Linked DNA regions of Cricetulus griseus. The protein of the gene in region 1 interacts with the protein of each later gene in a pairwise test. Links are inferred from orthologs where the notes say so. Each region holds a gene or a part of one and is shown in the gene's direction. Other genes may lie near its edges. The genes, in order: Rad54b, Ribc2 and Tceanc.

Region 1 (3,655 bases):
TACCACTTTTTAAGTCTGCTCTTTTTCCCACAGGAAGAAAAAGAGTTAGGAGAGAGAAGAGCAGTTGAACTCAGCTGCCTCACTGGACGTTTCATCCTCAGAAGAACTCAGGAAGTCATCAATAAATACCTTCCCCCAAAGATAGAGAACGTCGTCTTTTGCCAACCAGTAGCACTGCAGACTGAACTTTACCGGAAGCTGCTGAGTTCTCAGTCTGTCAGGTTTTGTCTTCAAGGCCTGTTGGAAAATAGCACTCATCTCATCTGCATAGGGGCCCTAAAGAAACTGTGCAATCACCCTTGCCTTTTGTTCAGTTCTGTGAAGGTGAGTCCCGTGGAAACTGCCAGGCCTGAGATGAGGGCTATGTGGCTTTGGAGTCCCAGAAGGTAGATTATGCTCAGCCCTGGAGTGGCATTTGTGAGGCTTTCAAATGCTCAGTGGCTCCTCCTGGGTGGTTCTGTTATAGAATGTCTAATAATTATTAAGTATTTTCTGTACACCAAGAATGAAGTGCTTTTCTGGTTTTATTTTATTTATTCTTCACAAACTATTTGTAATAAGTATGATTACAATCATCTGACCCTCCCCACCCCCCTTTTTTGTTAAGGGCATCTTACTGTTTTGTCCAATATAAAAAGTGGTATTATATTCTCAGGCTCTAGCTTCTCTCCTGCTTCAGAATAGTTGGACAAGAAGCATCTGCTACTGTGCTCAGCTTCTATCTCTATTTCCGTTGCACATCCTGGGATGGCCACGGCTACACAGAGAAACTTGTCTTGGAGGAGACTGAGAGATCTTTGTGTATAATCTTATTCTAGAACATTTCTCAAATTAGATTCCTTTTATAAGTGTGATTTTGAATGATGACTAGTTGAGCCAACTGTTTGCATATTTAATGACTATAAGGCAGTCTGCAACATGGTAAGAATTCTTGAGATTAGGACTGGTATATGTTCCTTAAAATTGTACCTGTAGTTCTTTTGCTCTGAGAGCATCTCGTGCAGCTCAAGTTGGCCTTGAATTTCATATGTAGCTGAGCATGACCCTGGATTCTGATTCTAATTGCCTATATTTCCCAACAGCTAGCATTATAGGCATGTACCACCACTCTCTGCCCCTAATTTTTTTTAACTTTTGTTAAATTTGGTACTTAAGTTGTATCTGTGAGCATTGGTTTTCTTATCTGGAATTTGGAGCAAGTAATTGTTTCATGACAGTTATTCCATTATGACAATTTTACAAGAAATTATGGGAAGAACCTAACAGAATGCCTGGTTAAAAAAGTTGCACAATGATCATTAATGGTATTTCCAGCTCATCATGGAAAACTTTTATTCAGTTCTTTAAGCAGTAAAATCAAAATATGTTCCCAAATAACCTTCCTAACAAAAACTGTGGGTGCTAGTTTATGTATGAGATCATTAATTGTATATTTAAAAAATGGAGTGTTCTAATAGAATTCTCCAAGTTCATTCTACAATGGATCTTATTTACTTAGTTTATCATAGAAGTGAGCTTTATGTAACTCTGCAGAAGGCTGGATTATAATAATTTATTAAGCAACTTAAAAAAAACAGATTCTACATACAAGTGGTAAAAATTAAACCTTTTGGACATGAAGCCCAGGAAGAATAGAAGCCAAAAATTTTTCCTTAAAAGGAAGAAATTATGATGGCTCAGAATATGTCACTTAATTTAGAATGTTTTTGCATTTTTTTGTGTGTGTATTTGTGTATGTGTTGTATATAAATGTGTGTGTCTACCCCAAATCATCAATTCTTTACAGTGTAAGCATATTAAATTATTTCAACTAAACCCTGGGTCAAGACTTCTTCAGATTATAGGTATCTTATGTAGATCTAACTTGACATATTCTATCAAGTGACTTGACCTAAGTATATTTTGTGTGCATGTGTCAATAGCCAAATTACAATTGAATATGTGCCCAGAAAGGTTTGTTTGCTACAAAAGAATATAACATGCATGATCGTAAGAGGAGTTAAAAATATATACAGTACTCAGTTAAATAAAGCCACGTATGAAATACTGTGAAAAAAGAAAAAGAAAACCAAACAAAAACAAACAAACCAAATTGTGCCGGCATGGTGGCACATACCTTTAATCTCAGCGCTCTGGAAGCAGAGACAGCTTTGTGATCATTTTAGAATAAAGTAACCTGAGTCTCTTCATAAATAGGGCCCTGGGTTCAATGAGAGCATATCCCCCACCCCAAATGTGTCGTAAGATAAATTGCTCTGTTAGCTTACAGATGACATCATTACTTATGAAGAAACTGATATGATTTATGACTCAGGAAACTTGGCTTGTTTTAGTTTGTAATTTGGGAGATGCTGTGAGCCACCTACAAATAAAGAGAAAAATAATAGGGAGGGAGGGGGACAGTGAACCAGAGTAAAGTATTGATAGGAGATGTCAGGGTTGGAAAGGCCCAGAAACTCTGAGGAGGCATGGTATGCTTCAGAAGTGGTAACTGTGACCTGGAAAGGTTTACTTCACAGTTATCTGGGCATTTTTCTTCCCATTAAAACAGTAAACATGAACCAGTATTTACTCACATTTGAACAGAGTAAAGAATTTAGCTCAAGTGATGAAAATGAAGAAATGAATCTATGCAAAGGCTTGCTGACTCTGTACCCTACTGGTTACGACCCTCTCCAGTTCTCTGAGAATGAGTCTGGGAAACTACAAGTGTTGGTAAAGCTCCTGGCAGCAATTCACGAACTTCGTCCCACCGAAAAGTAAGCCCTGTACCCAGCCCCCCATGTTCTTGTTACCGTACCCTGCCTCTACTTTCCCTAGTGTCAGTATACTTGGTTTACTTTCTCTAAAGAATACATTTCTGCAAGTACCCTAGTCACATGGAGGTGGGACCTGGGGTTCTGGGTACCGATACTCTAAACTCCTTCCTTCTGAGGAGCCTTGGCAAGGTTTTAAGGTATTTGGACTAGGGAGTTGGCTCCCTGGTTAAGAGTACATAGTGCTCTTCCAGAGAACCTGAGTTGACTAACAACTACTGCTCCCAACTCTACTTGCTGTTGCTGTTCCTTCTGTTATATCAGTGTTGCTATTTTCCTTTAACTAAAAAACAAAAGAACAAAATACTGTCTTAGAATGTTATGTAACAAACTTTTGTTTTTGGTTGACAGAGTGGTTTTGGTCTCCAACTATAGACAAACCTTGAATATTTTAGAAGGCATATGCAAGCGCCATGGATATGCTTGTGCCAGACTTGATGGCCAGACACCAGTCTCTCAAAGGCAGCAAATAGTGGATAATTTCAATAGCAAATACTCGACTGATTTTATTTTTTTATTAAGTTCAAAAGCTGGTGGTGTGGGACTTAATCTTATTGGAGGATCTCACCTAATTCTCTATGATATTGACTGGAATCCAGCTACTGACATCCAGGTAGGAATATTTATGCATTAAGTCCATATTATGTATGCCTAGGAGATCAAATATGATGATGTGTAATTAGTCGTTGGGTATTGGGCTCTTGTTTTGTATCAGACACACTTTAATCATCACAGCATCTCCACATGTGGATGTAAGTAGCCCATGTTTTCTATATGTGAGGAAATGGAAGTTTGTTCTTCCAACATAAGAAATGAAAACCAAGCTTCATGTCACACTG
Region 2 (3,655 bases), about 260 Mb from region 1:
GAAGAAGTTCCAACAGGAGCAGAACAGAGAATGGTACCTGCAACAGTACAGAGAGTGGGAGAGAGCGCGGGCTGACCACAAGCTTGCAGGTAATGAAAGAGAAGACAAGTTTATCTCAACCCCTAGCTCAGTTTTTATGGGTGCTTTTAAAAGCTCTGTCAACATTACAAAAGTCAACACCTCAGCCCCAGGAGTCAGCATCTCCCGGTGTGCCTTCACAGTACAGGAAATGCTTTCTGAGCACTCCTATTGCCCTGGTTTGCTTTCTATTGCTGGAATGAAACACCACGACCAAAAGCAACTTGGAGAAGAAAGGGTTTATTTAGCTTCCAGGTCACAGTCCATCACTGAGGGTAGAACCCAGAACCCGTGAAGAGCAGGAACCTGGAGGCAGAAGCTGACACAGCCTATTTAGAAGATGAATAAAAATGTGTGTGGTTATCCAAGTCTCCTTTGGGAGCCCAGTCACAGGCCCAGTGCTAGCAGGTTCTCATCAGGACTCACTGGATTCAGAGAGCCTCAGGATTCAGACATGAAAGGGCCTCTCTATGGGGAACAACAACAAAAAGCAGTATGTTCTGCCTCCATAGAGGCCATCAGCCCCTCCTTGGCAGGCACTTGCAGCAGCTTCTGGTCTTCTGAGCAGGTCACTAGTGACTGAACCGGGAAGAGCTGCTGGGAAGAGCAAACCAGAGCTAAGTGGGAGCAATTGCTCTGCCCTCCCCAGCTGCTCCAGTCTCTGTGTTAATTCAGTCCCCTTGCTCAGCTCGGGTTCCTCTGATGGTTTCCTTCTCAGCTCCCTCCTCTGTCCTCCTTGTCCACTAAAGTTGCTGTGACCGGCCTGGCCCACGGTCTTCATGCTCCCCTCTCCGATGTCAGTTCTCAGCTTCAGCCCCCTGGATTTGCCTTCCAGGCCAGTTCTTTTCCCTGGTTTCTCTGTTGGATCTGCTCCTCTTTCAGCCTCCCCTGCCTGTCCAACCAGAGATCTGAGAGGCAATCCTGACCCCATCTTCAACTATCCTCAACTGTGCCCCTTCTACCTCCTGCATATTCTTTGAACTGTCCACTTCTCGTCATCCTTTGGCCACCACTGTTGAGACAAGACATCAGATTTTCTCCCTGAATGGACCTCTGCTAGTGGCTTTCTAACTGTTCACTCCCACCTCTAGTCCATTCCTAACATGTCAGGCAGAATGACACTTCTCAAATAATGTCACGTTGAACCATGCCACACCCATGCCCTCATCCTAGCTCAAAGATATCTAATGTCTTCGTGGGATGTGGAATGAGTTTAGAGACAGCGCATAGACTGTACATGTTAGGCCTCTGCCCACCTGGAGAACATCAGCTGATATCTCCACCTCATTCAGGGCATTTCAAACACATTGGCTCTTTCACTTTGGATTCCCTCATGTCTCTCCCACCTCAGGGCCTTTGCACCTGCCCTGACCATTTAGTCTTTCAGCTCTGGATAAACATGTCCTCCTAGAAAAGCAGTTTCTTGGTCCCTACCCTCCAACTTCCCTATCCAGAATTCCCAGCATTTCCTTTTTCATCTCATCCTCCCTTTCCTCAATGGACTAGCATACTTTGTATATCTATTTGAGCGGGGTGGGGGGGTGGGGGGGTTGTGTGCTTTGAACCCCCTTTTCTCACCTTTGTGTTGTGTGTGCCCTGAGAAATGTGGGACCCAGTCTAGGCTCTTGATCACTATCTGGTACATGACAGATTAACAGAAGAAGAGTAAGCTGATGATGAAGGTGTACAGAGACCAGAAAGCCAACGCTAAAGCGTCTGGGCCTTTGGGACTGCCTTGCAGTGCAGTAGTAGAGCACTTGCCTATTGTGTGTGAGGCTATGCATCGCCAGCACCGGAGTGTGCGCTTTGTGTCTGGAGTTAATGGGGAGCCACTCTGAGCACAAGTAGAGAAAGCAGATGCTGCTGAACATTGACTTTTCATATGTCCATTGCATCTCAGCACTGTACCTCGGTGAGGGTGTGGGACACTGCGGTTAAACAATAGCCTGCTGATAATGGTGCTAGGCCATGTCTGGAAGCCTGTTCTGACTTTGAACTTTTCTACTTCACTCCTGGTACCCTCCAATTTCACCCTGCCTTGTCCCCCTCACTGGCCTGGCAAATTTCTGCTGCTGCTCCACAAGTGTCTGTGACCTGGCACTCTTTGCTACGGGTCTTGTCTGGTTTCTTTCTACAGCCCTTTTTTCCTGGTTCCTACTGCTTCTTGCCTTTGTAAGGCTGAAACCATCTGATAGACCAGTGTCAGCAAGGTCTAACTAATCTACCCTAGGACTGCTGCAGACATCACCAATTCACAGCAGACATCATCAGTCTGTAGAGATTACAAGTATACCCCTTGCTCACAAAGATCTATGAGCTACACCTAAATCATCCTGCTCTCCCAGAACCTGTGAGGCAGTAGCTCTCCCCGCTCCAACCCACTCTCCCTTCTCTTCCATGGTAAGAAATGAGTGTGAATCACCATGCCACAGATGGTACTTCTGGTGGGCATACTCAGGCTGATGGTATCTTGTCCCCTGGCAGAAGACCTCTACACACAGACAAGACTAAAGTTTGATGAAAAAGCCAGAGAGCTGCAGAAGCTGGAAAACTTCACCAGAAAGGAACTCTGTGCGGCCACGAAAGAGTTCAACAAGAACCAGGTATATGCACCCTGAGCTCAGTCTGAAGGAAAGAGCATGCACATAGCAGCTTCCTCGGGGCTCCCTAAGTTTTGAAGGGTCCCAAGTTGAGACTGCTCACACCACCAGCTCTAACAGAGGTAGGTGAGATCTAATTTGGCCTGCCCCTCAACTAGGCTGTAAACTTCATATAAGTTGCAGGGACTGGGAAGGGTGAAACTTAAAAAAAAAACAAACAAAAAAACTTCTTTATTAATTCTTTGGGAATTAATCATGCACTCCGATTCTGCTCACCTCCCAGTCCCCCCATATCCTCCCCTCAGCCTTGCAGCAACCTTCCAAAAGAGAACAAAACAAAGCAAGCAAGCAAACAAACAAAAATAAGAACAACAACAAAAACCAAACCAAGACAAAACAAAACAACAACAACAAAATCTCTTTGTTTCTCCTTTCCCACCTCTCCAACTCCTCTTCATTTGTCCTGGTAACACTGGGGGCCTCAGTGTGTCATACAGTATACCCTTTGTCCCATCAGCTTGACTGGCACATGTTCATTGCAATGAGTCACTGGTCTGGTTCAAGGCTTCTGGTTTCCAGTACACCATCCTCACTGGATCCTCACTGGAACTCCTCTGGGATATCCTGTGGCTGCCCCGAGTCATGGAGATACTTTGGGTATTGATCCACAGGACCAGTCCCTTCATGAGCTTCAGAGGTCCTAGATGGGATAGATGTTAGGGTGAGCCAACCCAAGGCCTGGCTGAGACCCTGGGTGGTAGCTGAGCTGGTCAGTCTGGGCCACTGGGGCCACCTGCCTCTGTTAGAGTCAGCTCCCCTACATGCATGCCCTCAGGGTCAGTTCACCCTCACCTGTGGTGAGGGGTGGGACCAGCTCTCTTGCTGTAGGTTCCAGTGAGAGGCAAGGCCAGCTTTCCCAGGGCCAGCAAAGGGCAGGGCTGGCTCAGCATGACCCTCTGGTTTTATCTGGCATGGTT
Region 3 (3,336 bases), on another chromosome or scaffold:
TCATCCACTGCCATCTCCGTGTTCTCTTCCCCCTCTGACAGATTCCCTTCCTTGCCCCAGATAACACCCCTTTTGCTTTCATGTCACATGTATTCCATTACCCTCTCTTCACCCTCTCTCTTTTCATTATATCCCCTCTCTAGTTTTATGATAGAAGATTTTTAAATGATTTTCTTAAAGAATTGAGGTGGACTTTGTCTTCCAGGACTTAGATACAGTGAGTGGGTAAAAGGAAGTTGCTGCATAGTGACAAGAAGCTCACAAATTGAAAGGAGAGAAAGCATCCTGGAAACTTTGCCACTTGTTTAACAGAAGAACATATCTCGGGAGCTGTTTGGTAGGTGTGTTCAAGGGAAATGTGGGAAATGTAGACAAAAATGTTTTTAAATATGGTAAACATGAAAACACTGTAGTTATTTGATGTTTTTCACTGATTTTCTGTTGTTAGATGAAATTCATATCCCAGGCTTATTGTGAAGACTGAGGTAACCTGAGCGTGAATAGCACCATAGACTTACTCAGTAAATGTCCATTGCCTTCCACTGTTCAGAGGTAAGTATTAGAGACTATCAGGAATCATATACAACACAACATTTACTATATTACAATGCAAAGGATGCTAATTTGAATTGTACACAGCAGTGTTTTTAATAGTTTCTTATGTAATGGGACTTACTTAACATAATGTGAAGTTAGAGAGGTCAGTGTATTCAGTGAAGGAGCAGGACTGCAGCTCTGTTTGAAACTAATGATAACCTGTTGGTGGGGTAGGTTGGAAAGGTGAATTCCTGTGTGTGGTTTAAATCCGAATTGGCTGGAGAACTGGACAAATGCTCAAGTCCTACCCTCCGAGACTCCAGTTCATTCTATCTGGGGTGAGGCCCTGGGGTTGTTTGCTTTAGATTTTATTTGATTTCCTTGGATGATTCTAATATACAGTCAGGGTTAAGAAGCATCCATGGTGATAGCATGAGGCCAGGTTTAGGGAACTGCTGTAGCAAAGGCACAACTGCGTAATGGAACCATGCCTGTCTGTGGTTTAGAGTAGTCAAGGCAGAGGCCAGGCTGAGGTGCTATTCATCCCATGGACAGAGCCTAGTCTCTATCCTGTGAGTAGAAGGGAATGTCTGAAGGACTTTAAGCAGAAGAAAACACACACACACACACACACACACACACACACACACACACACACACACACACACACACACACACGAGAGTTAATGAAGCAAACTCTGCAAGGAAAACAATCTATAACTCCAGTCTGATATTTTCTTGTGGCCCCCACAGGTATCAGTCATATATGTGATGCAAAGACATACATGCAGATAGGCAAAACACCCATACATGTAGAATTCCACACAAAGAATTTTCTTCAAACTTAAAAAAGACCCTGCAATAGGGGATTTTTAAAAATACATTTATATGGCATATAAGTTTGCATAAAGGAAATACTGGTATCCTTTTTTCACAACTTTTGTGTAAATCTAAAAGTATTTCCAAATAAAGAATAAGTGGGTCATCTGGATTTGACCCTGTTTTTCCAGCACCTCAGTGTCAGCACATTGTACTCTGTTGACTTTCAGGGTTCAGCAGCCCTGCTTCCCAACCTGTAATATCTGTTTCTTTACATTGGTTCAGATATCAGTATCCCCATTTTTGTTGTTTCCTTTTTATATTCAGAAAAGTATCACTGCAAAGATTATAAAGGCATTAAGTATCTCGGTCTCATAACTGAATATGAGGAAAAAATAGCCCAGTATTTGCTTAGCATTGTCTTATGGATGCTTACATGAGCATGATTTTATTCCCAACATGATCATCAAATTCCACCCAAGATGAACTGATTTTTTTTAGACAAGGTCTCATGTATTCCAGGCTAGCCTCAAATTTTCTATGTACCTAAAGATTGTGTTAAACTCATGTTCTTTTTGTCTCTATCCCCAGGTGCTAGAATTGCAGGCATACATTACCATGCTAGGTTCCTGAATAATTTTAATCTAGAAAGGCACTTATTTGTACAGTTGGAGGTGGAAAAGTTGATAATCCTAGCTGATAATCCTAGCAAGGCTTTGAATGTTCTGCTGAAACTTTGCAGAGCCATTTTTTTCCTTCAGCTATTGAAAATAAAAGTATTGAAAGTTGACTATTTCACATTGTTGTATTATCTAATCTGCCACACCACCACACACTTTTATATCACATTACTCCTTCAGAAAATATCAAATGTACTGGCAGGAGCTGCAATTAATAAAGGCAAACTTTAAAAGATTGAACCGTCTTTTTTTTTTTCTTTGCAGCTGTGAAGATGGCTGAAAGAAAACATATCATTGCCAGGGCTTCCCTGATTGAGCAGCTGGTGTCTAAAAGGTATTTTGAGGATATTGCCAAAGAGCTTACTGAGCTTGAAATGATTTATGTGTCTAAGGAGCATCTCCAGGAGACAGATATAGTCAGAGCTGTATACAGAGTCCTCAAAAACTGTCCCTCGGTGACTTTGAAAAGGAAGGCCAAGTGTCTACTGGCAAAGTGGAGAGCTTTCTATAAGAGTACACATTACAAAACAAAGGAAAGCCTTAAATCACTCCATTATAATGTTAATAAAGAAGGTACAGCTAGTTCTCAGGATGTGAGCCAGGAGGAGGAGTTCGTTTCGAGCCAGGATGAAATATCAGGTCTTTGCAAGTCTCTCTCTAGGCTTGTACCCCAGGATGCTGCAAAGTCTGCTGCTGCTGCTGCTGCTGCTGCTGCTGCTGCTGCTGCTGCTGCTGCTGCTGTTCCTGCTGTTCCTGCTGCTGCAGCAGCAATTGGGTCTGAAAGTAGCATCACTGAAATGGAAATTAACGAAGAATATTTGGGGGGTGGTGACTCTGAATCCACTAGCAAGAGCTCAGGTGTGTTACAAGAATCCCTAGTGTCTGTTAGATCTAAAGGCATAGAGCTTCTTTACTCGGCATTAGCTAGTTCTTCTACAGATTACACAAAAACTCATTTGTGGCAGAACCTTGCAAGAGAAATTGAAGAGCACATTTTTACCCTTCATTCAAGCAACATCAAAAAATACAAAATTTGTATTCGAAGCAAAGTTGCCAATTTGAACAACCCCAAGAATTCTCATTTACAACAAAAGTTGCTCTCTGGAACCATGTCTGCAAGAGAATTTGCTGAAATGACTGTCCTGGACATGGCAAATGAGGAACTGAAGCAGTTGAGAGCTTCCTACACAGAATCCAGTATTCAGGAACATCACCTTCCCCAAACAGTTGAAGGCACACAGACAAATAAAATAAAGTGCAGGCGCTGTGAGAAATATAACTGCAAGATCACTGTAATTGC

What was found.
Region 2: the proteins of Rad54b (region 1) and Ribc2 interact in a two-hybrid assay, tested with the Homo sapiens proteins (2 studies listed by BioGRID and IntAct). The two-hybrid records come from large-scale screens. The link is inferred for Cricetulus griseus from reciprocal best matches to the Homo sapiens genes RAD54B and RIBC2.
Region 3: the proteins of Rad54b (region 1) and Tceanc interact in a two-hybrid assay, tested with the Homo sapiens proteins (2 studies listed by BioGRID). The two-hybrid records come from large-scale screens. The link is inferred for Cricetulus griseus from reciprocal best matches to the Homo sapiens genes RAD54B and TCEANC.

Annotation. Positions count from the first base shown.
Region 1 is NC_048595.1:125,733,875-125,737,529, forward strand, and holds part of Rad54b (DNA repair and recombination protein RAD54B), read left to right. Parts: intron 1-33; coding exon 34-324; intron 325-2,586; coding exon 2,587-2,759; intron 2,760-3,167; coding exon 3,168-3,429; intron 3,430-3,655. UniProt on the Homo sapiens protein: Involved in DNA repair and mitotic recombination. May play an active role in recombination processes in concert with other members of the RAD52 epistasis group.
Region 2 is NC_048595.1:381,969,500-381,973,154, forward strand, and holds part of Ribc2 (RIB43A-like with coiled-coils protein 2), read left to right. Parts: coding exon 1-89; intron 90-2,562; coding exon 2,563-2,681; intron 2,682-3,655. UniProt on the Homo sapiens protein: Microtubule inner protein (MIP) part of the dynein-decorated doublet microtubules (DMTs) in cilia axoneme, which is required for motile cilia beating.
Region 3 is NC_048604.1:101,286,405-101,289,740, reverse strand, and holds part of Tceanc (transcription elongation factor A N-terminal and central domain-containing protein), read left to right. Parts: intron 1-205; 5' UTR 206-341; intron 342-448; 5' UTR 449-552; intron 553-2,300; 5' UTR 2,301-2,308; coding exon 2,309-3,336.